2 linked regions of the Astyanax mexicanus genome follow. The protein of the gene in region 2 interacts with the protein of the main gene of each other region in a pairwise test. Links are inferred from orthologs where the notes say so. Each region holds a gene or a part of one and is shown on either strand. Other genes may lie near its edges. The genes, in order: pinx1 and aida.

Region 1 (12,047 bases), about 17 Mb from region 2:
ATAAAATTTAAATAAACAAAATTTACTTGACCACAAAAAGAAATTAACAGAATTTATGCCCGACAAGAACAGTTAATACAAGGACAAATTAACCAAAAATGAAGATATAGATGGTCTTACCTTTAGTGAATTTCATGTAATGGACCCGTTTTCTGGAGGTCTTTGATTTCTCCTCCAAACTAAAACCTTGTTTTTGTTCCTGGGTGACTTCTGTATGTAAAAAAAAAAAACGACAATTCAGATTGCAACTAATTTTTACAATGACAAATAAATCTTTGACATTACTTATAACTACAGTTAGCAAAAAAAAAAATAATAATAATAATAATAATAATAATAAAAAAGACTGCAACCTGGTGCTCTAATGCCCTTACTTTTAAACTAGATCATTATCATGCTTGGTAATAAGGCTGGCGTTTCCTATTACTTTCAAAACGGCCTAAATTTGTATTTGATTTTACCTCAACTCAAACCAGAAAACTACACAGTCACAGTGCACACAGTAACGCTGTAAACCAGCTTTCCTAGTGTGAGCACTGTGTAACAACAGCACCACCAAGTGGTATTTTAAGTGTGGGGAAAAGGCAGAAAAGCTATAACCAGTTATTATATGTACAAGATATGCTTATACGTTTTAACCTTATAACTTTATATTTTTTGTAATTAATATATATATATATATATATATATATATATATATATATATATATATATATATATATATATATATATATATATATATATATATATATTCTATCAAGAGGTAACAGACACTCAATATCATAACCAAACTACAGTATGTACACAGCTTGGGTCTGCTATAAAATACACATGAACACATAAAATCAAACTGGTCTACCTAATAAACAAAATAAATTAAAAGAAACACATTTATCTGTAATGTACCTTCAGTGCTGTTCTGACCGTGGCAGTTGTTGAGGTCAGCAAGAAGCTGATTAAAATCATCCTGATGGGCAATCCAGTTATCCTACAAGACACATTCACCACATAATTTAGATAACATACTGTGACTGACTAAAACCTTACAACAAAAAAAACAATTTAGGATCCACACAAAGATTCAGAAAAGTGCTCACCTCATTGTAGACTGCGGCACCTAAACCCAAACTGTTGTTTTTCACTTTAACCTTGATGTGGTCTGTAGCACCCTGCCCAGTTTTTCCAAGACCCTAATTGGAACGAAATGAGAAACAAAGAAGCATTATTAGGCCACAGATAAAGTACAAATAAAGCCAAATAAACTACATAGTGTTAAATTACACTGCAAATTACAATGCAGTCTTGGACTAGACCTAAACTGATCAGTTTCTGTGAAAAAAATGCAGTCCGGATTTTGGGTAGGGTTGGGACAAAATATAACTATTGTGATATATTCTATTACTTTCAACATATGAACAATACTTGATGTCAAGTAAAGCATAAGTACTCTAAATTCCCTAAGATTTACTACCCAAATTGACTTATTACAGTTACTGCTTCATTACTCCACCTAGTGGCACTAATCAAATGAATCGGGTAAACCTGCGGTGAAGAATATTGGTTGTAAAATTCTATGAAACGAACATCAATTAATCAACAAGTCCTAGTATTTTCTCCTCTTCAGCAACACAGATTCATCATAGTATCATAGATAAATGTCTTGCAAAATATTGAATATCACATAATCACAGTAGAGCATTATCATCATCATAATCATCCAATCCAAATCTAATTCTGGGTGCCTCTGACCTTATGTAGTCATGTCAACATACTGTATAAACGTAAAGCAATAAAGGACAAAAAAAAGAACACTGCATTTGACACCTAGAGGACAGTAATCTTTTTAATGATCAACCCAAATAAATGTACAAACAACCTGTTAAAACAAATCCAAATATGTTTGGATGCTATGTGTAAAGGTATCCAGAAATACATTCTAAATAGACAATTCTACTATGTTTATTTGCACTCATAGCTGACAAACAGTTTGTGCAAACACAGCTTGTATAACTTGCATTAAAAGACAACACAAATGAAATAAGACATCCTGAAGCCAAAACACAAAACAGTTTTTCCCCAAAAACTGTATATTTGCTTTATGTGTACAATTGGTTTGTGTCATTTTACATGCTGTTGACCACAGTGTAATTGGCTGACAGACACAGTAATCTATGGTGATAAATAATATATACAGCCAGTGAGAGGTTTTGCCCCCCTTGTACATTTTGCTAATACCAAGTTCAGGCATATATATATATATATATATATATATATATATATATATATATATATATATATATATATATATATATATATATAGTGCAGAATCCAGGATGTACAAATACTTCATTGATTGAGGTGGCAATGTAAGAACTTTATTACCTTTCCCTTGGACCAGCCCATTCGCTCCAGCATCTTCTGGCCGAACTTGGACTCATCTTTGCTCCATGCACTGTTCCTCGGGTCCACAGACCACTTCTGCCTTCGACGAGCTAATACAACAATGCAATTAGCAATCAGCCAACAGTGTCAGTGAACTAATCATCATTATGTAACCGACAGTCTAGCTCTCTGCTGATGACAGGATGTAGGAAAGTTCCCTTATCCCATATCCGAATGAGATTTGGGGTCCTGGGGTAATTTTCTCTTTTATGGGGGGTTCTCTGTGATTTTATTCCCGTCCAGAACGACCATGTACATGTTTTTCGTGTTTTTCTCAGACGTCCTCTAAGAAAATTACAGGCTGAATTACCTACAGTTTTGTAGTCTCTGAGTTTGATTACCTTGCGATTAATAAAATAGCTATTTGTCCACTGCCACGCACCGTACTTACACTTCACGTTTCATGGAGATTCACGTAAACACAACAGCATATAAAAACGGAGGAGCTACTGAACGTGATGTCACATGACCGAGAAAGCCAAAAAAAACTCTCTGGTCCTCCTGTTTTATTAATTGCAGTCCGGATGCAAGAGTTTAAATCACTGAGTAGAAGTGTGAGAAATATTTTTTACAGGCGTCCCCTGAGAAACTAATCCCGTCTGGAGAGGGCATTAGGATGCTTTCACACCTGCCCTGTTTAGTCCGGAGTTTCAGAACTTTCAGTTTGGGTCTGAACTAAAGTAGCAGGTGTGAAAAGGGATTTAACTGAAACCAATTTATATGAAGTATAGAGAGACATGATGTAGTACGGTTCTTTAATCCACTCACTAGGGGTGAGCTATATGACAATATTTCAGGGTATTTTTGTGATAATGATATTTTTGGTGATAGGAAAAAATATTGAACTAAAAACATATACAATTTTAAAAATACACTGCTGCAACAAAACAAGTATTTAGTTTTATTTGGCAACATTATTGCATGATTATTGCACTAAATGGCACTAAATTAATATCACAATATTTTAGCATATTTTAGTGATAACAATATTCAAAAATATTTGTGATATTATTGTGTACAATACAACACGGCACTCTCCCACAGCTCACTAAACCAAAACTGAAGCAAATTTATACAATGTGAGAAACACGGGGAACTGAGTAAAATGCAGAATCCAAACGTAATAGACTGGTGTAAGGTTACCAATCTTACAGATACTTACATAATATAGCTAGGGGTTAGCAAGCTAACTAGCAAGTGGAAAGCAGAACCCCTCTTATTGATTTCGTAATTAAATAATAAAACAGAGGGGAAGTGGTAAGCACTAACTTAAATTCATTATCAAGCTAAGCTTACTTTTAACAGGTGTCCTGTCGAGTTATGCTACCCATCCATACGTGTTTCATAAAGGCACTGCGCATGCGGTGACCTACAGGAAATAATTATTGTTTATGTTTTTAATATCTGTTTTTTTCTGTGCATGAAACAACCTGGACTCACTCTTTGTAATTGCATAAACGTGTAAATGGAAATGAATAATAATAAGTACAATAATTAATATTTTAGAAAAAACACAAAAGCAGTTTGTAATGACTTCTCATTGCCATAACTTTACCAAGATACAGCAATTTATGTTTTTCAAATATACTAAACTAGCTACATCTAATGTGAACATGCTCTAATATTGAGCTTCTTCTGTATTTTACAGTATATATACATATATACATTAGGGTAGCACGGTTTGAAAAGGTAGCACAACTCGACAGAACACCCCGGACACAACACTTTTATCGGTTCCCCAAACACATAAAATTTAGTATACGTTAGACTCTGGTCTAGACTTTCAGGTGCGAAAGACCCCCAAGAGCCCATTGGCAGTGCTGGTAAGCGCTGGGGACAGCTGGATTTCCCTGTTTTGACACACCCATTAAATCTGACCCTGTTGTTAACTAGATAACAATAACTTACTGAAGAATCTGAGCGACAAGTCTGAGCTAGACTCATGAGCGCTGGTCTAAAATGAGCTCAGAACAGGTCAAATGATCACTTTCACTTTACTGCTCCAATATAAAATACAACAACAGATGCGTGAACTGATGTAACTTTAGTTAATTATCTAATGTGTAGATCTAGGCAGAGTATTATTAAGGCCATCTAAGACTGAAGTCTGACAGCTCTGACCTAATATACGACTATTAGAGCAGCGTGTGTGTGTGTGTGTAATAATCTGACTGATCATTAGTGTGTTTTGCCCCAGAGCCACATCTACAGAGCTACAGCTAACTAGCACTAGCTAACCCGAGCGCACCGGCTGATCTTCTGATTAACTTTAAAACGAGGAAAACGATTCTATTAAAGCCTGGCAGCACAGGTACGGGTGTAAACCACATATCCAGGGTCAACACTGACACTATAGAGCACGAGAAACCACGAACAACCAAAAATAAAGCAAAACAAACTATCAACTCACGTTCAGCAAGCATGGACATCGTGGGGTCCTGGAGCATGTGGACGCTGCCGCCAGGCTTCCCCACCTATGCCTGAGTGTAAAATATTTTTTTAGTTTTATATATTTTGTGTATTATGACGAATATAAAAATATTATCCCATACATTTTAGAGATGTATATATGTTTAGGTAAATATATGTTTTAAATATGTTTTGTGTTTTTAGTTTTACGTGGGCAGTTTAAAGCCCTCTTTAATTTATTATGTCTATTAAAAGTGCTGACACTAGAGGTCGACATTGTAGCGTGTTCCTTTTTAAAGTTCATTTTAAAGTCCTTCTACAATGTTCTCCCTAAATATACACTCTTGTATACTATATTATACGCTCATTTGTATTGGGTGAGGTAAGGATTGGATGGAGCTGCTTGACCATGGAAACCCCCTTACATGAACCGCTCCTTTGTTATTGATCTGATCTGAAGCTACATGAATTGTGGAGGTCTGTAATGACTGAACTAGGTGGTTCTGCCTTTTTACGTGGTCCCTAGATCTAAACCTGGAATTCTATCTCATTGGGCATTAAAATTTACCATTGACTGAAACAATGGTTGGACTCTTTATAAAGAATATTTATCTTGCAAGAGAAAAATAGATGTTTTTATATTTGCTTCACATAAAAGTACAAACATTACAATCCATATTTATTTTTTCACTTAAAAAATAATTTTATAGATATTTCAAGGTAATTAATCTTTTTTCTATAAAATCATAAATAGACAGACTAACCATTCATGGTATTACCTTAGAGTATGCTTTAATGTTTGTATCAATTGTTTTGTGTAACATAGGACCTGATCTCTCTATGGCTCTGCCCTGAACCCTCGTCTGAGACAGACCACGCCCACCCCGCCAGCTTCAAGCGCTCTTCCAAACATGGCGGAGCGAACGGGGTTCAGCTCACAGCAGCACCAGCAGGTACTTTTCCAATTAAATTTCATACAGACGTTATGATTAATGTTATATTTCTTTTTTAAGTAAGTGTTTAACTCTATTAAGATGCTCATGTTAGCGGGGTGTGCTAAATATCCATGCTTAAATTATACTAGTTAGTTAGTGAACACTAACCTACCTAGTCAGTGAGTTAGCTAGTTTACCTAGGTCATCTGGTCAGTGAGTTAGTGGGTTAGCTAAGCTAGTTATTATGCCCCAGGGTAAAGCCAAGTAAGTGCTGGTTAAGGTTAACTAGCTAACTCACTGACTAGGTAACCTAACTAGCTTAGCTAACCCACTAACTCACTGACCAGATGACCTAGGTTAAGTAGCTAGGTAACTCACTGACCAGATAACCTAGGTTAAGTAGCTAGGTAACTCACTGACCAGATGACCTAGGTAAACTAGCTAACTCACTGTAAATGTTTTTCAAAGACGCACAGTCACGAACAGTATATATAACTGACGGTGCAAAATTTTCTAGACACAAGTCAGACAGATCTTTTTTTTTCTATAAAATCATAAATAGACAGACTAACCATTCATGGTATTACCTTAGAGTATGCTTTAATGTTTGTATCAATTGTTTTGTGTAACATAGGACCTGACTGGAACAACGCTAATTTAAAAGGTTGGGCCCTCCCCACTCCCCTGCTGACCTACACTCACACTGCGTTTAAACAATCTGTGCCCAAGCATGCTTACGTCATTACTCACTGCTCAGTAGGCTTGCTGGTGTTGTGCCGAATTCAACACCCCTGCCATGATGGGGTGCTATTCCTGATGGCGGTGCTGAATTCGGCACCACCCCATGTTTGTTAACGTTGCATGTTCCGTGCACAGTCTGCAGTCAGGGGCGGATTTAACTATGCAAACCACCCAATTGCTTGGGGCCCCGGGAATCAGGGGCTGCTGGCCAAAAACGAAAAAAAAAAAACCCACATTATTTCTTTTTTGTACACCCAAGTTAAGCCAGGCGAGGTAGACTAAGGTAGCTTTGGCACAACCATGAAACGGTTTTATCCCAGCGTTGCCCAAAAAAGAAAGAAAATTAAGGAAAGCACAGAAAGCTTGAAAAAGCTAAAAAAAAATTTTTACAGCAGCAAGAATTCAACGTCTGACGAGAATGAGGTACCTGAGATTGCATTTTACTTTACAAAAGCAGTGTTGATGAAGGGTTGTGGTATCCTACACTCATTTCAGGGGTTATGCAGATCACAACCATTAAGGGATATTGTGTAACAGCTCAGAAAGGTATTTTTAATGAAATGTATATGATTGTAACTGTACGGGTATGGGTATATCTACCCATAAATGTACAATGCATGTTTTTTTGTGTATGGCTAGGTGTTGTTTGGCATGCTGACAAGGCACTTCGCACTACAGGTTTCCACCAGACGGTCAGTAAACAAAAATGAGTGTCTTGTGTGCCAAACCAATAAATCAAGAGAAGATGTTCTGACACATGTATCAAGGAGGTGCAATCAAGTTATTCCCCTCTTTTGATTTATATGTCTATGGAGTGAATTTTGTGCCAAAAGTTTTACGTAAAAAAATAAAATCCACAATCAAAATTTTAAGAATCAAAAGTAAAACATGTATGTTGCAAATTCAAAAGAGAAAAAATATATATCAAATATATATATTTAAATATACTTGGTTATTTTATTATTCTTTGCACTTATTTGAAAATTATTTTAGTTTGGATTTTGCCAGTCTTTGCTTTCATTTTTGGATTTTTTTGGATTTTGCTGCTAAAGACTTTTGCTTCTGGAATCTCTACTTTGCTTCTGCTTCATTTTTTTGGTTCTGATTTTTGGCACACTTTTCACGGGTGGGCGGGGCTTAGAAGAAGGCGTTCCCCTTTAATCTCTATTGGTCACCTACCCTGAACCAGAGCTGATCTCCATTGATCTAACTTAAATTATATAAATTACTGTATAATTCTATATTATATAGTATTGTTTTTTAGACATTTTTCTGTAGAAATTGATTTCATTTTGACATTAAAATGGAAATTCTTGTAAAAATGATACTGACCATGATTCCATTTATGAATGCAGTAAAAATTGAAGGGAGTAAATAGTTTGTTTAGCCTTCTTAACTTTCAATGAAAGTCAATGTAAAAAGAGTTCATTTTAGGATAATTTCTATTAGTATAAGGGACAGTTTGTGTGTTCAAATTATGTAGTAATCAAAAATAGGCAAAAACAGAGACAGCAACAATATACCTATTCTATATATCTCAGTCGAAAATCTTCTGTGTGATTTAAAAATGACATCACATTGAAGAAACTAAATAATGTAGTCTTCTGAACTACAATTTTTTAAAAACTAATTACCCAGCCTACATCTTAATTCTATACTTTGAGACTTTTGTGCATTGCTTAAAGAACATGTAGAACTTGTGACGTGGCACAAAGTGTGCCAGATTCTGTGCCAAGATCTGGTTTAACACACATCACACAAAGTAACCTTGAATGTCCTTACTCCAGACCTGAGAAGGAAATGTGGTACGATAAGATCTGTCTGACTTGTGTCTAGAAAATTTTGCACCGTCAGTTATATATACTGTTCGTGACTGTGCGTCTTTGAAAAACATTTACACAGAAAATATTTGAATAGAAATGATATGAAAGACTGATAAATAAGATTGTATGTAACATTTTATTTTATATCAGTAGATTATCATTAAGCAATCTTTTCTGTTATCTTGGTGCTTGGCTGGCCTAGATATGAAACTTGTTTTTATCTCACTCAGTTTGACTGCACAAAATAGTGCTTGGTAATAATCAATCAGTAAACGAATTCAAATAAAGCAATTCAAATAACTCTCACCATTTTAAACAAATTTAAGGCACCCTATTGTAATAACCTGTACATTGCATAATTGTGTTTTGTGTGATGGTTATACAGACATCTTTTTAGAATGCTATCTCCAGAATATACAGACATGAGAAATAAAGAAAAAGTTTACAACTGTCACAATTTAGCAGGATATACTTCTATGCTTTAATGTGTACATTTTCAACAAAAAAACACTGTGTCATATGAGGGTAGACCTCAGATAAAGGTTAAAGGGTTCATCTAGTCTCAGCAGTGATATACAGTGCATGTTGAGACAGATGAGCCAGTGACAGTCAAGCACCGTCACCATAAAATGGTTTTTGATGCTTTGCTGAAATCCAAACCCGAGGTCTATTGATTCTGCTGTACCTCACAGAACAGTTATTTCCCAAAGGTCACCAAAAGGTTGCGTCAGCAAATGGATATTTGTCTGTTTTTTTCTGAGTAATACCTTTTTGTCTCAAGAAAAGATTTTAAGCATAACACGTCAGTGGTATCTGTTATGTTGTTAAAAATACATTTAACTTGGCTTTCACTATAAATTCTAACTACCCTGTTTTTAATGTATTTATTAAGTTAATGGTTAAATCAGCTGATTATGTCAAAGTAATTCATACAAACTGAGTTTTTTTTGTGTAAGATCTATTTCTCTCATGTTTTGAGTTGAGTTAATACATTTATTTATATTGACCCAAGTCATGTTATTCATTTTGTTCAAATACAATGAGCTTTAGGGAGTACCTCATACTTGGAGATACCCCTCGCTGCAGAACCACAAGTCCAGGGGGTGGGGCTGGATCTGATCCAACTCTTCCTACGTCGTGTTTTCATTGGTCTGAAGCAGATCGGACTCTTCCCCATCCGGTTTTACTCACTCGCCTTTCGGAGTCAAGTAAACAATCACGAACGGGGAAGAGGAGAAAGAAAAAATATAAATAACAATCTGGCAGTAACAACATCCTCATTCTATACTCTCAGTGTACTGGGCATTTTTCCAAGCTCTTTGGAAAATTATACATCGTTACACTCTTTTTATAGAACTCTGTTTTTTGTTCGCCATTTTGATTGTGTATTAATATCTGTAATAATAAATGAACATGGTAGCTGGTAGATAAGACACTCATTGGCATCCTTTATTTTAATTATTTATTTTTTATTTTGTCTTTAGGCCCTTTTTATTAAAGATAAAAAATGAAATAGTTAATATTTATATAGGAAATGTACAGCATTTTATTATGTTTGTAATCACAGACATGTTCCTTCTTTTAAATCTGTATTGTGTGATTTAAATGTGCTACGTAGCAAATAACATTTTCCAGGATTTATTTGATAAGATAAAAGTCCTGGTCGGGAAACGTAAGCGACACGTGTTATGTTTAACAACGAATTGAAATGCGATGACTTAAAACCAATGAAAAGAAGATATGGGTGGTCAGGAGGTCAGGCTCCACCCCTTGGATCAGATCCAGCCCCACCCCCTGGACTTGTGGTTCTGCAGCGAGGGGTACTTGGGATATTTGGGTACTGCAACCTCAATGAGTAAGACAACTTTCCCATTGGCCTCTGGAACCCTATATATGCATAGTGGGTATGTCTTTCTTCACCTTACTCGTCCTCAATGTATAGTGAGTCCCCCAGGTTAATTTTCCCCTATATGTTATTTGTAATAAATTGAGGAACCGCTGTTTGGTCCCGTGTTGAAGGCTGTAAAAGCAAGTTAACACTTCTGACTGCTAAAGGCCACTATAATGCACCAATATAGTATTATAAATTATATAAATTAAATGTTACCAAATCTAGACATTATGGGCTTTAAATATAGTTTCCAGCCCTAGAATTTTTTCTTTTGCTGGCAGTTAAAAGAACTGCCCATATGAATATATATATTTTTTTTTTACTCAAAAGTTCCTGGAGAGATATTTGGAATTATTCCCAGATAGGGGAATAGGTATTATTTAGAGAGCAACTTTGTCACAGATGTTCCTTCTAAAACTGTTTAGAAGACCTAGCGTTAGACAAATGTGAGACAAAAGACATGATATACACTGCCTGGTCAAAAGAAATTTGCCACCAAAAAAAAGTCGCACACTCTAATATTTGATTGGACCGCCTTTATCTTTGAACCGCAGTGTGGCATTGTTTCCATAAGCTTCTGCAATGTCACAAGATTTATTTCAAGTGTTGCATTAATGATGGTAGAGTCTGACCGCTGCACAAAGTCTTCTCCAGCACATCACAAAGATTCTCAATTACCTCTTTTCCACCAAAAAAGTGCTGGTGCCGGAGCCGGTTCCTGCAAACCTTTTAAGAACCGGCCCGTGTTTCCACTGCTTCAAGGAGTCACTCACTACGTATGTGAATGTGGGCATCAACAGAAGTCGGGGGCGATTTGAAAACAACAAGGCAGAACCCGAGCTCCTTTTAAAACTTGTGCTGCTGTCCTCGGTGGACCACTATTGAATATTTTTTATTCATTTAGCTGCTTCTGCTGCTCTTAGCTGTGAATGGAGGTGAGGTTTGTAAACAACTTTGCCCCAGAGACGATTCAGCGCCCCACCCTTTGGCCGCTCGCGTCACAGGTTCGCTGGTTCCAGACCAGCAAGTTCCTGGCCCAGAAGCTGTGATTTTGCGGTAGAAATGGAAAGAACCGTTCGGGAACCTGGCACCAGCACTGGCACCATGCCGGTGGAAAAGCACCCAATGAGGTTAAGGTCTGGACTCTGTGGTGAACAATCCTTGTGTGAAAATGATGATCTCATGCTCCCTGAATCACTCTTTCACAATTCCAGCACCATGAATCCTGACATTGTTATCTGGGAATATTCTCGGTCATCAGGGAAGAAACAAAACAAATCTATTAATGGAATAAGCTGGTCTATATTCAGGTAGTCAGCTGACCTCATTCTTTCAGCACATACTGTTGCTGGACCTAAATCTGACCAACTGTAGCACCAACCCCACATCATTTACTTACTTAAATCCAGACGGCCACTTTTTTTAGCCAGGCAGTGTAGTTCCGAGGTTAAGGAGTCAAAAGTGTGAATATGGTTTTTGTAATGTCTCCCTCTGCTGGCCTCAGTGGCGAATTCACATTCCCCAGTCATGTGCTGTGACTATGCTCCACCTCTTACCTGAGGCACATCAATCAGACATAGCTTGCAGCTCCTTCAGAGGAATGTTTTTGACTCTGTCTTTCTCTCAGCAAAGTCTCTGCACCCTATATTTAGGCTTGACTTAAATCGCGTCAGTGTGTCTTCACTATGGTAACGGCCAAAAAGATCTACCTTGCGCTGCTTTAAACACGCAAAACGCACAGTTGTAATTTTGCTAGAAAGCATTTAGTACTTGTACTTTTTTAAATAGATTAGGTCACGCAGAGTT
Region 2 (11,247 bases):
TGGTTTACTGACCATGGCATTACTGCCTGCCAACTCTCCTGACCTGAACCCCATAGAGAATCTGTGGGATACTGTGAAGAGAAAGTTGAGAGACGCAAGAGCCAACACTCTGGATGAGCTTAAGGACGCTATCGAAGCATCCTGTTCCTCCAGAACACCTCAGCAGTGCCACAGGCTGATTGCCTCCATGCCACGCCGCATTGTAGCAGTCATTTCTGCTAAAGGATTCCCGACCAAGTATTGAGTGCATAACTGAACATAATTATTTGAAGGTTGACTTTTTTGTATTAAAAACACTTTTCTTTTATTGGTCGGATGAAATATGCTACTTTTTTGAGATTTTAGTTTTTTCTTTACTTTTCTGACAAAATCATCAATATTAAAACAATAAAAGGCTTGAACTACTTTAGTTGTGTGTAATGAATCTAAAATATATGAAAGTCTAATGTTTATCAGTAAATTACAGAAAATAATGAACTTTATCACAATATGCTAATTTTTTGAGAAGGACCTGTAAATATGAGCAGTTTTTAAATGAAGGTTTTTATTATTAGGGAGAAAAAATTCAAATCTACATGGCCCTGTGTGAAAAAGTGTTTGCCCCTAAACCTAGGTCATGCCACAGCAGCTCAATAGTAGGTCAAGACTTTGACTAGGCCACTCCAAAGTCTTCACTTTGTTTTTCTTCAGCCATTTAGAGGTTGGACTTGCTGGTGTGTTTTGGATCACTGTCCTGCTGCAGAACCCACGTTCATTTCAGCTTCAGGTCACAGATGAGGAACAGATGGCCGGACATTCTCCTTCAGGACTTTTAGGTAGACAGCAGAATTCATGTTTTTATTAATCACAGCAAGTCTGTAGGTATGTATTTTACCGTAGGTATGATGATCTTTTTCTGAAAGGTGGTGTTACCTGTATGCCAGATATAATGGGACACACACCTTACAAAAAGTTAAAGTTTTGTCTCATCACTCCACAGAGTAATCTCTCAAAAGTCTTGGGAATCATAAAGATGTTTGCTGGCAAAATTGAGACCAGCCTTGTCTTTTTTTGCTCAGCCGTGGTTTTCATCTAGGAGCTCTGCCATGTAGGCCATTTTGCCCAGTCTCTTTCTGATGGTGGAGTCATGAACACTGACCTTAACTGAGGCAAGTGAGGCCTGCAGTTCTTTGGATGTTGTTGTGGGGTCTTTTGTGACCTCTTGGATGAGTCTACACCTCTTGGGGTAATTTCGGTTGAATGGCCACTCCTGGGAAGGTTCACCACTGTTCCTTGTTTTCGCCATTTGGGGACAATAGCTAACATTGTGGTTCACTGGAGCACCAAACTTTAAAAATGTTTTTTTTTAACCTTTTTCCAGACTGATAGATCTCAACAAAGTTCTTTCTCAATTTTTTCCCGAATTCCTTTGAATATTGGCAGGATGTCTTGCTTTTGAGAATCTTTTGGTCTACTTCTCTTTTTCAGGCAGGTCCTGTTTAAGTGATTTCTTGATTAAGGACAGGCGTGACAATAATCAGGCCTGGGTGTGAAAAGAGAAACTAAACTCAGGTGTAATGAACCACAGTTATGTTACTTTTTCCACACAAGGTCATGTAGGTTTAGATTTTTTTTTCCTTAATTATGAAAATCTTCATTTAAAAACTGCATTTTGTGTTTAATTGTGATGCATTTGATTAATATTAAAATGTATTTGATAATCTAAAACATTAAAGAGTGACAAACATACAAAAAAAAAAAATAGAAATCATGAAGGGGCAAACACTTTTTCACACCACTGAATATAAACATATAAAATCAACAGCTCCAGTCCTGAAGGGCAAGAGTATAAAAATACAAAATATTATATTGTATTGTATTATATTTAAACAGCAAACTTCCATAGAATTAATCTTAATATAACATTAAACAACAACTATATACACATGTCTTAGTGTACATACTGGGTTCCAGTTTCTTCAAGTCTTCCAACTTAAAATCTTCTTGGGATTGGTTGTACTAAAAACATAAAAAAAAGATGGTGAGAATGATGTTTGGACATTAACTTTTAATATATTTAAGCCAAAACTACTCTGTATAATATAATACATTACAAAGATATAAATATATATGACTGTATATAGCTTATATACTGAACTCATTGCTGTGTCCTGTGCAAGAGGTTTGGGCATCGTACAAAGAAAGCACCCCATTGCACCGTCTGTCAGAAATCATGTGTTGCAAATGCACCTCGCTCAGTTAAAATTCTTTAAAGTTAATTCTATGCCCTTTAAGTAAGGGGACTGTGAGGGCCACTGTGAAATCTTTTGTGTATGTGGTTTTGAGGTATATTTTAGATCCTTTATTATCCTGATATATTGCTTCCAGATTGTTTGACATCTTCCTTTTTTCCCCAACTGTACATTTGCTTATTGTGGCTAAAGACTTCTATGTAGACTTAATCAGCCCCTATTACTTATTTCATTACTTATTTCTCATAATATCCGAAACAAACTTGAAATGTTAAGTTTGGTGAGGGAGTTTTGTACTTATGACCCCCTCTATGTAGCTTATACTTATGCTGTGCATTTATATGGTAGTCTTGATTTGCTTGTCTTACCAGCATACCAGTAGTTCTGTCTTGGATCACATCTTGAATTTTATTTTGTAAAAGCCTTTAAATGTGATGTTAGTGAGTGTGACAGAGTACATTACAGCACACATGAACAGCACTTATCAGACTGACATGTTGGTATACAGTAAAACAGGAAAGTAAGTACAGGAGTATTTTTTATACTCTTCAAGATAAGGAGGTGTAGTCACTTTGCACAGTTCTGTAAGAAGACACAAATTTCCCCCTCATATGAACACCATTGTCTATTTACAACACCGGGGAATTGGGAGGCAGTGGTATAAAACATTATCTATGTTTGAAGTTGACCATATGGGGAGATTTACGGTCATATAGAAAAAAGCTTGAGTTGGCCACAAGTATATTTGGGAAATATAAGTGGCATTTAGCACCAGAACCATGTACTATCTGTCACGCATGGTGGAGGTAGCACCATGCTCTGAGGATGTTTTGCTGCCTGTGGCAAGGGTAAATTGCACAGAGAATAATAGAATAATGGACAGCTAGATTGTTGACACTGGGTATTCCAAAAGGACATGCATGAAACAAATTTGAAAGTGAAAGTGTTTCAATATGCATGCAAGAGTTCTGCTCCAAAAAGTTGCTAATAGTTACCAAATATTGACATGACATGTCATGATGAGTGTATGAAAACCTCCAATCACCAGCTGTACTTTACCACAAGTTCCTGCATTTGATCCACATTAACTTAAAACTAACCTTAACATTGAACCAGGCTTAAAATTATTTATTGGTGAGCTATTTTGTATACAGAGCAGCAAGACTACACACCTGTAAGGATGCACTTCGCATTTCAAGACATGTTGCAATCTTTCCCAGGTTTTTCTGGGGAAAAAAGACATATGGAAATGATTATGAACATTTATACTTAATAGTTCTAGGAAACATTATAGGTCTTGTTTAATTTGTAAATACTGATTCTATATCTGATTAAGGCACAGGGATATTTCAAACTTGAAGCAGACATGACTAAAGTACCTCTACCTACCTTCTGCTCCTCTGTAAAATCATGTGAATTTGATGACTGGACCTCTTTCTGCAGCTGCCTTGCAAGTCTGTCAAACAAAAAAGCAAAAAAACAGCATAATATAACATCCTTCTGATATCAAAAATCAGCAAACTTTTCAACAGTTAGCATCTAAGCTAACACTGCAATCCTTACTGCCGAGTTCGACTGCATTGAGCCGCTAGCTGCATTCCAGTATCTAACCAGCACTGCATTATCGCTAATCTAACATTTTGGCTTCATAATAAAAGTGCCAAGGCAGATTATATAAATAAAAAAAAGATGTTCATTGAAAACAATTACTGTATTGACCAACATAATAAAGAAGTATTTTTATTACATTTGTCTGTAATATTGTAAATATCTAAATACTGTTACTGTCTCATTTTAAGGGTTTTAAGCTGGGCTGGTATGTTTTATTATTACAGAGCAACATATTTCAGCTATTACTGTAGAAAATATATTAGAGTGTAGTTGCACTGTATTTGAGTGGGCCAGAGCGTCTTCTAAATTTGGTTCGTAATGTATTAGGTGAATAAAGGTGAAGCTCTATAAAATTGGTGTTTAGTTGTGAGAGATATACAGTGTTTTCAGCATCTGTTTCTGGCTGATGTGGAGCTTTTAAGTCGAGTTATTCATTAATGTACTAATTTAATTGAACAGTGCAGTTTAAAATACTGAAGAACGTGATTACATGCGATTGGTTTACATTAATGAATCACAGAACCTGCTAGCACTACTAAAACTCATTATTCATTTTGTTACATTTAGTGATGTAATTGGATTTCATACAGTCTACTTTCTGTTTTTCCCACTTTTGTAACAGAATTCTGAATGTTATAAACCAGCCTACTTAAAATAATAAAATATGAAACCCCAAATTAAATGAAGTTTACACCCATTTTTATCTCGATTTTTCCTCCGTTAGAGAACTCAATGAATAAGGGTTACTGACCCTTATTCTGTTATTATAGTAGTTTGATTAGAGGTGGGTGTGAGTTATTAGTGTATCACTGAGTGATCAGCGGTTATTGATCAGAGACCCCCGACTCAGAGAACCTCTGGGAGAAGCTCCGCCCACAGGAACAACCAGCAGCAGCAGCAGGAGCAGGAGGAGGAGGAGGGTGTGGCGGCAGTTCTGCAACATGTACAGTTACTGCGGGAGGGAGAGAGAGGGGGGTCCGCTGGCGCTCACTGACCCGCCCGCCCGCGGTATTACAGCGCTGCTAAACAGACACCAAACACTCAACACCAGCCTGCTGCCCACTCACACTCACACTCACAGAGCTCTGTGAGCCCCGCGCCGCTCGCTCGCTCCCTCCCTCCCTCCCTCCCTCCACAGTCTACTCACATCTGGTACTCATCTATCGCCTCCACCAGTTGCCCCCACGAGTCGAAGTCCGTGCCCTTCCTGAAGCTCGCGTGCCACTTGTGGAGGGTCTTGGTGACATCGGTCATCTTCCCGCGCCGCTCCCGGGGGGTTCAGGTCAGCGGCGCTGCCGGGGCTCCTCTGCTCTGCATGGCTGTGGATCAGCTGCTCCTCCACGGGCTACAGATGAACCGGCGACACAGCTACACACCGAGACCCAGCCCTGCTGCGCGCGCAGCCACACACTGCGCATCACCCCAGCGGAAGTGCTGCGAGTCGAGCGCCGCACACATACCTACTGTAAAAGTCTCAATCCGGGTCCTCACCACAGACCCTCCACACAGGAGACCGCCCACTCTACGGCGCCTCCACCAGGGGGTGCGAGATCACATCATTCAGCACAGGAGAGCTTTTAAACTCCACTCATAATAAACACTTTAAACGAGTAGCAGCAGAATGCAGCGCATGTAAACCCCGTTACTGTAGAGAAATGTAAACATACAGCCTAGTTATATTTGCTTTTTGCATAATACTTAATTCTACGTTCCGAAATACACCGTCTGGCCAAAACAAGTCACCCCCTGTATTAATGCCGACCTTACACCTAACAGTGTCCTTACACGACTTAGTAAAAACTTTTTACAGAAAAAAGTCTGACCCCCTTACATCTAAAGACAAGTCACAGACTTTTTATTTACAGACTTTTTACTCACAGACTTTTAAGTCACAGGCTAAGAGTTTACAAAGACTGGGGATATTTGCAGTCTTTCTGAGATTTCTTTCCTCTCATGCCTCTGTTGGAATTTACATACAATACATATATATTAAGTAACAAATAATGTGAATATCGCTGTGATTTATCAGAGACTCACCACCTTTGTCCCCATTAACAGTTTTCTGCCGCACTGTATTTTGTTCTTGATATTTTTTATAGAATACATTTTGTGTTCAACTCTGCCTATAAGCTTCCCCCCCCCCCTTTTTTTTTTTTTTTTTTTTGCTACAATCATGTTTAGCAAAGAATCACAGTTTCACGAGAGCAATGTCAACAACCAATAGAAGAGCTACGGGAAACCACAAGGCAATAATATTTTACGTGATTGTTTACAAACGGTTTAAAACAGAACACATTTTGCAGTTAATATGCCTTATATGGTTCTTACTTTAATATGTACAGTATTTTAAACACAGGCAGCACTTTAAAGTCATTCTATTTAAAAATATATTTTTGCACTGCTTTGTCTTATTGTGCAGTTTTATTTTTGATACAAACAAGTTAATTAAATACACATTTTGCAAGAATTATGTTCTTTATTGCATTAATTCTATCTAAAACAGCTTGACTCTAGCCAGACTCTCTTGATTTTATCCTGACTCTGGAAATTTGTTTGCGACAGAAAAATCGTTTGAAAATCGTTAGGTGTAAGGCAAAAATTAGCAAAATCTTAGCCTGTGATTAAAAAGTATGTGACTTGTCTTTAGATGTAAGAGGGTGTCAGACTTTAGTATATTACAAATCTTTTCAGCGTTTTTTCAAAGTTATGTAGCGTATGGACAGCATAAGCAAAAAGCCTCCTATTGGATAATTACTGCATGGGTGATTGTCTAACAGCTGGCAGCAAGTTATTAAACCCCAGTTGCTTCTCATTTCTTAAACAACCATGTAGAAATACACACCTTGTGGTCATGGAATGGCAATGCCAGAATTCATGGGGCTGGAATTGTGAAAGAGTGACTCAGGCAGCATGAGATCATCATTTTCACACATGGATTGTTCACCACAGAGTCCAGATCTTAACCTCATTGAGAATCTTTAGGATGTGCTGGAGAAGTTTTGTGCAGCGGTCAGACTCTACCATCATCAATGCTGCAAGATCTTGGTGAAATATGGATGCAACACTGGAAAGAAATTAGTGTTGGTACATTGCAGAAGCTTATTGACACAAAGCTCCACGCAATCAAAGCTAAAGGTGGTTCAACAAAATATTAGCATGTGTGACCTTTTTTTGGTGGCGACTTTGTTGGTGGCCAGGCAGTGTTTAAGGAACATCTTAAATGTAGTTAATATTTTTTTATTTTGTGTTTTTAGTAGTTTAGCTCCACGTCTCCCCATTCATTTAGGGCTCTCTCGCGGGCTCCCTCTAGCGGTGCGCAGTGGTTTTCTGATGTAACGGAGAGACAGGAGGTGACCAGGCTCTCCATTAACCGGTGTCCTGAAAATCCATGCTACCCATCGAAACGTCCTACCAAGGGCTATTGCGCATGCGCAACATCAGTTTTCTGGTATTCAGAGCCACGCCCATAATTTCGTGCTGCTGGCAGATGGTGCTCTCGGATTCACGGTTAGTAACGCGTATTTAGCGCATTTTATCGTGTTTTGAGGTAGAAATGTTTCATAATTAAACCTTTTATCGTGTTTTTGGGGCAGAAATATTCCGTTATTAAGCCTTTGTTCACATACGCTTTATTACATTCAGTTGATTAACACTACACGTGTAACTTATCTAACACGTGTAGGGTCAAAATGGTGGAAATATTTAGTTATTGAGCCTTTTAACGTGTTTTGAGGCAGAAATATTTCATTATTAAGCCTTTTATCGTGTTTTGGGGCAGAAATATTTCATTATTAAGCCTTTGTTCACATATGCTTTATTAAATTCACTTGATTATTACTACACGTGTAAGTTAGGGTCAAAATGTCTGAAATATTTCATTATTAAGCCTTTTATCGTGTTTTGGGGCATAAATATTTCATTATTAAGCTTTTTAACGTTAACGTGTTTTGGGGCAGAAATATTTAATTATTAAGCCTTTTATTGTGTTTTGGGGCATAAATATTTCATTATTAAGCCTTTGTTCACATGTGCTTTATTAGATTCAGTTGATAATTGCAGCGATGGAAGAGAAGTGGGATACGATTTATGCATTTTTGGCCGTGGGAACATACCCTAATGCTTATAACAAATCGCAAAGGCAGAACCTCAGGAGATATGCCTCCAAGTTTCAAGTAAAAGGTCAGTGAATTCTTGCTGCTGCTGTAGTGATAATGAAAAATGATTAACCTACCTTATCAGAATGTGCTACCAGCATTTACACTGTAGGTAGGATAGATTTATAGACTAAATTACCTTATCAGAATGTGCTACCAGCATTTACACTGTAGGTAGGATAGATTTATAGACTAAATTACCTTATCAGAATGTGCTACCAGTATCAGTACTGCAGGTAGGATAGATTTATAGACTAAATTACCTTATCAGAATGTGCTACCAGCATTTACACTGTAGGTAGGACAGATTTATAGACTAAATTACCTTATCAGAATGTGCTACCAGCATTTACACTGTAGGTAGGATAGATTTATAGACTAAATTACCTTATCAGATTGTGCTAGCAGTATCAGTACTGCAGGTAGGATAGATTTATAGACTAAATTACCTTATCAGAATGCGCTACCAGCATTTACACTGTAGGTAGGACAGATTTATAGACTAAATTACCTTATCAGAATGTGCTACCAGCATTTACACTGTAGGTAGGATAGATTTATAGACTAAATTACCTTATCAGATTGTGCTAGCAGTATCAGTACTGCAGGTAGGATAGATTTATAGACTAAATTACCTTATCAGAATGCGCTACCAGCATTTACACTGTAGGTAGGATAGATTTATAGATTAAATTACCTTATCAGAATGTGCTACCAGTATCAGTACTGCAGGTAGGATAGATTTATAGACTAAATTACCTTATCAGAATGCGCTACCAGCATTTACACTGTAGGTAGGATAGATTTATAGACTAAATTACCTTATCAGAATGTGCTACCAGTATCAGTACTGCAGGTAGGATAGATTTATAGACTAAATTACCTTATCAGAATGCGCTACCAGCATTTACACTGTAGGTAGGATAGATTTATAGATTAAATTACCTTATCAGAATGTGCTTCCAGCATCAGTACTGCAGGTAGGATAGATTTATAGATTAAATTACCTTATCAGAATGTGCTACCAGCATTTACACTGTAGGTAGGATAGATTTATAGACTAAATTACCTTATCAGAATGTGCTACCAGCATTTACACTGTAGGTAGGATAGATTTATAGACTAAATTACCTTATCAGAATGTGCTACCAGTATCAGTACTGCAGGTAGGATAGATTTATAGATTAAATTACCTTATCAGAATGTGCTACCAGCATTTACACTGTAGGTAGGATAGATTTATAGACTAAATTACCTTATCAGAATGTGCTACCAGCATTTACACTGTAGGTAGGATAGATTTATAGACTAAATTACCTTATCAGAATGTGCTACCAGCATTTACACTGTAGGTAGGATAGATTTATAGATTAAATTACCTTATCAGAATGCGTTACTAGTATCAGTACTGCAGGTAGGATAGATTTATAGACTAAATTACCTTATCAGAATGCGCTACCAGCATTTACACTGTAGGTAGGATAGATTTATAGACTAAATTACCTTATCAGATTGTGCTACCAGCATTTACACTGTAGGTAGGATAGATTTATAGACTAAATTACCTTATCAGAATGCGCTACCAGTAGGTAGGTAGGATAGGTAGGTAGGATATATTTATAGACTAAATTACCTTATCAGAATGCGCTACCAGTATCAGTACTGCAGGTAGGATAGATTTTATAGGCTTAGTAACTTTATTTGAATGTGCTTTGTGCTATAAACTTTTGTGTGGTCCATTTTCAATTCAGATGGAGACCTCTTCTTTGAAATGAAAAGAAAGGTCATTAAAAAAAAGGAGGACGCCAGGGTTATGTTCGAGGAGTTTCATTCCAGCCCAATCGGTGGACACTCGGGTGTCATGAAGACACGTAGTGCCATGTGTGCCAGGTTTTACTGGCCAGGCATGACCATTGATATAGAAAATTGGGTATGTTTATTTCTTTTTCTGTTTTAACTATTATATAATTGCAAGTGTCATTGGTATATTAACACATTTATGCCTGAAGGTCTTGGAATGCGACAAGTGCCAGAAAGTAGGGAAACCCCTGGATGTTGCACAGCCGCTACAGTGCATTAAGGTAAATGCATTCAGTAACACAATTCTGATGACCAGTTCTTTCGAAATACATGATGCAATTGTTTTTTTTTTGTTTTTGTTTTTTTACTGGTAGGTGTCTGCGGTGTGGGAGCTTGTTGGCATTGACCTAACTGGCCCATTACCTGAAACATCAGATGGCTGTCAATACATATTGACAGTTACTGATTACTTCTCCAAGTGGGTTGAGGCCTTTCCACTAAGAAGTAAATCTGCAGCTGAAGTGGGGAAACACTTATGTTCTATAATTTACTGTCATGGCTGTCCAAAAAGAATTCTCTCAGATCAGGGGCGAGAATTTGTTAATGAAGTAAGTGTGTTACAATACCGTGTATAAAATCTGTGTGTTGTATTTGTTTTATTGTGTGTTTGTTTTTTGTTGTTGTTGTTTAAAATATGCATTTATCTGTTTTTCAGTTAGTGTTCACACAATGTAATGGGAAATGTTACATATTTTATTGGCCAAATTGAGGAAAATCTAACGATTTTTTTCTGAGAGATTTGTTAACTACAATCATTTTCTTTTTGAAGCTAAACCAAAGGCTGTGTGACATGCTCCATATTGAAAGGAGTGTGACAGCAGCCTACCACCCTCAAACGAATGGGCTTGATGAAAAGACAAATGATAACATAAAACGGTAGGATGTAATTTTAATTTGGTCTTCAAGATAAAGTGACTGCTGCTGCTGACATTTATTCTGCCTGTGTATATTCTAGGGAAGCCTAGATACCATTTTTTGTATGAGTACATGTATTTTTGTAATTAAAGATAATGATACTTGGAACTAAGCAATGGAGCAAATGGAATATTATATAGTGTTGGAGTGTTGGTGTATAAGTAATGTAAGATTTGTAGTGATCATCACATTTATATAAACATTTTTTTTACTTTTCCAAACAAGCCAAATATTTTAAGAAATTATGAAATTGTGCTTAGATGAAGAGAATAGTTTTATTGGATGTATAAGCTATTTGATGCCTTAAGGACAAATTGCTGACCTGCTCGGGTTTGAAGTTGAGACTGCTGCGATTCCCCAACCCTGTGCCTTATTGCATGCTCATCCTCATCCTCTCTTGTGTTCTCCAGAGCTGTGTGTATGTTTGAACATTTGATATTTGTATTCTTCTTCCCACACTCTCAATCCTGCATAAA

Evidence for each region.
Region 1: the proteins of aida (region 2) and pinx1 interact in binary tests that used the Homo sapiens proteins (3 or more experiments, as listed by UniProt). The link is inferred for Astyanax mexicanus from reciprocal best matches to the Homo sapiens genes AIDA and PINX1.

The regions. Positions count from the first base shown.
Region 1 is NC_064408.1:71,111,009-71,123,055, forward strand, and holds the start of pinx1 (PIN2/TERF1-interacting telomerase inhibitor 1), read right to left. Parts: upstream 4,928-12,047; 5' UTR 4,890-4,927; coding exon 4,853-4,889; intron 2,493-4,852; coding exon 2,383-2,492; intron 1,191-2,382; coding exon 1,098-1,190; intron 989-1,097; coding exon 907-988; intron 211-906; coding exon 121-210; intron 1-120. UniProt on the Homo sapiens protein: Microtubule-binding protein essential for faithful chromosome segregation. Mediates TRF1 and TERT accumulation in nucleolus and enhances TRF1 binding to telomeres. Inhibits telomerase activity. May inhibit cell proliferation and act as tumor suppressor.
Region 2 is NC_064408.1:54,336,719-54,347,965, reverse strand, and holds the start of aida (axin interactor, dorsalization-associated protein), read right to left. Parts: upstream 5,281-11,247; 5' UTR 5,097-5,280; coding exon 4,990-5,096; intron 3,688-4,989; coding exon 3,621-3,687; intron 3,458-3,620; coding exon 3,404-3,457; intron 1,999-3,403; coding exon 1,944-1,998; intron 1-1,943. UniProt on the Homo sapiens protein: Acts as a ventralizing factor during embryogenesis. Inhibits axin-mediated JNK activation by binding axin and disrupting axin homodimerization. This in turn antagonizes a Wnt/beta-catenin-independent dorsalization pathway activated by AXIN/JNK-signaling.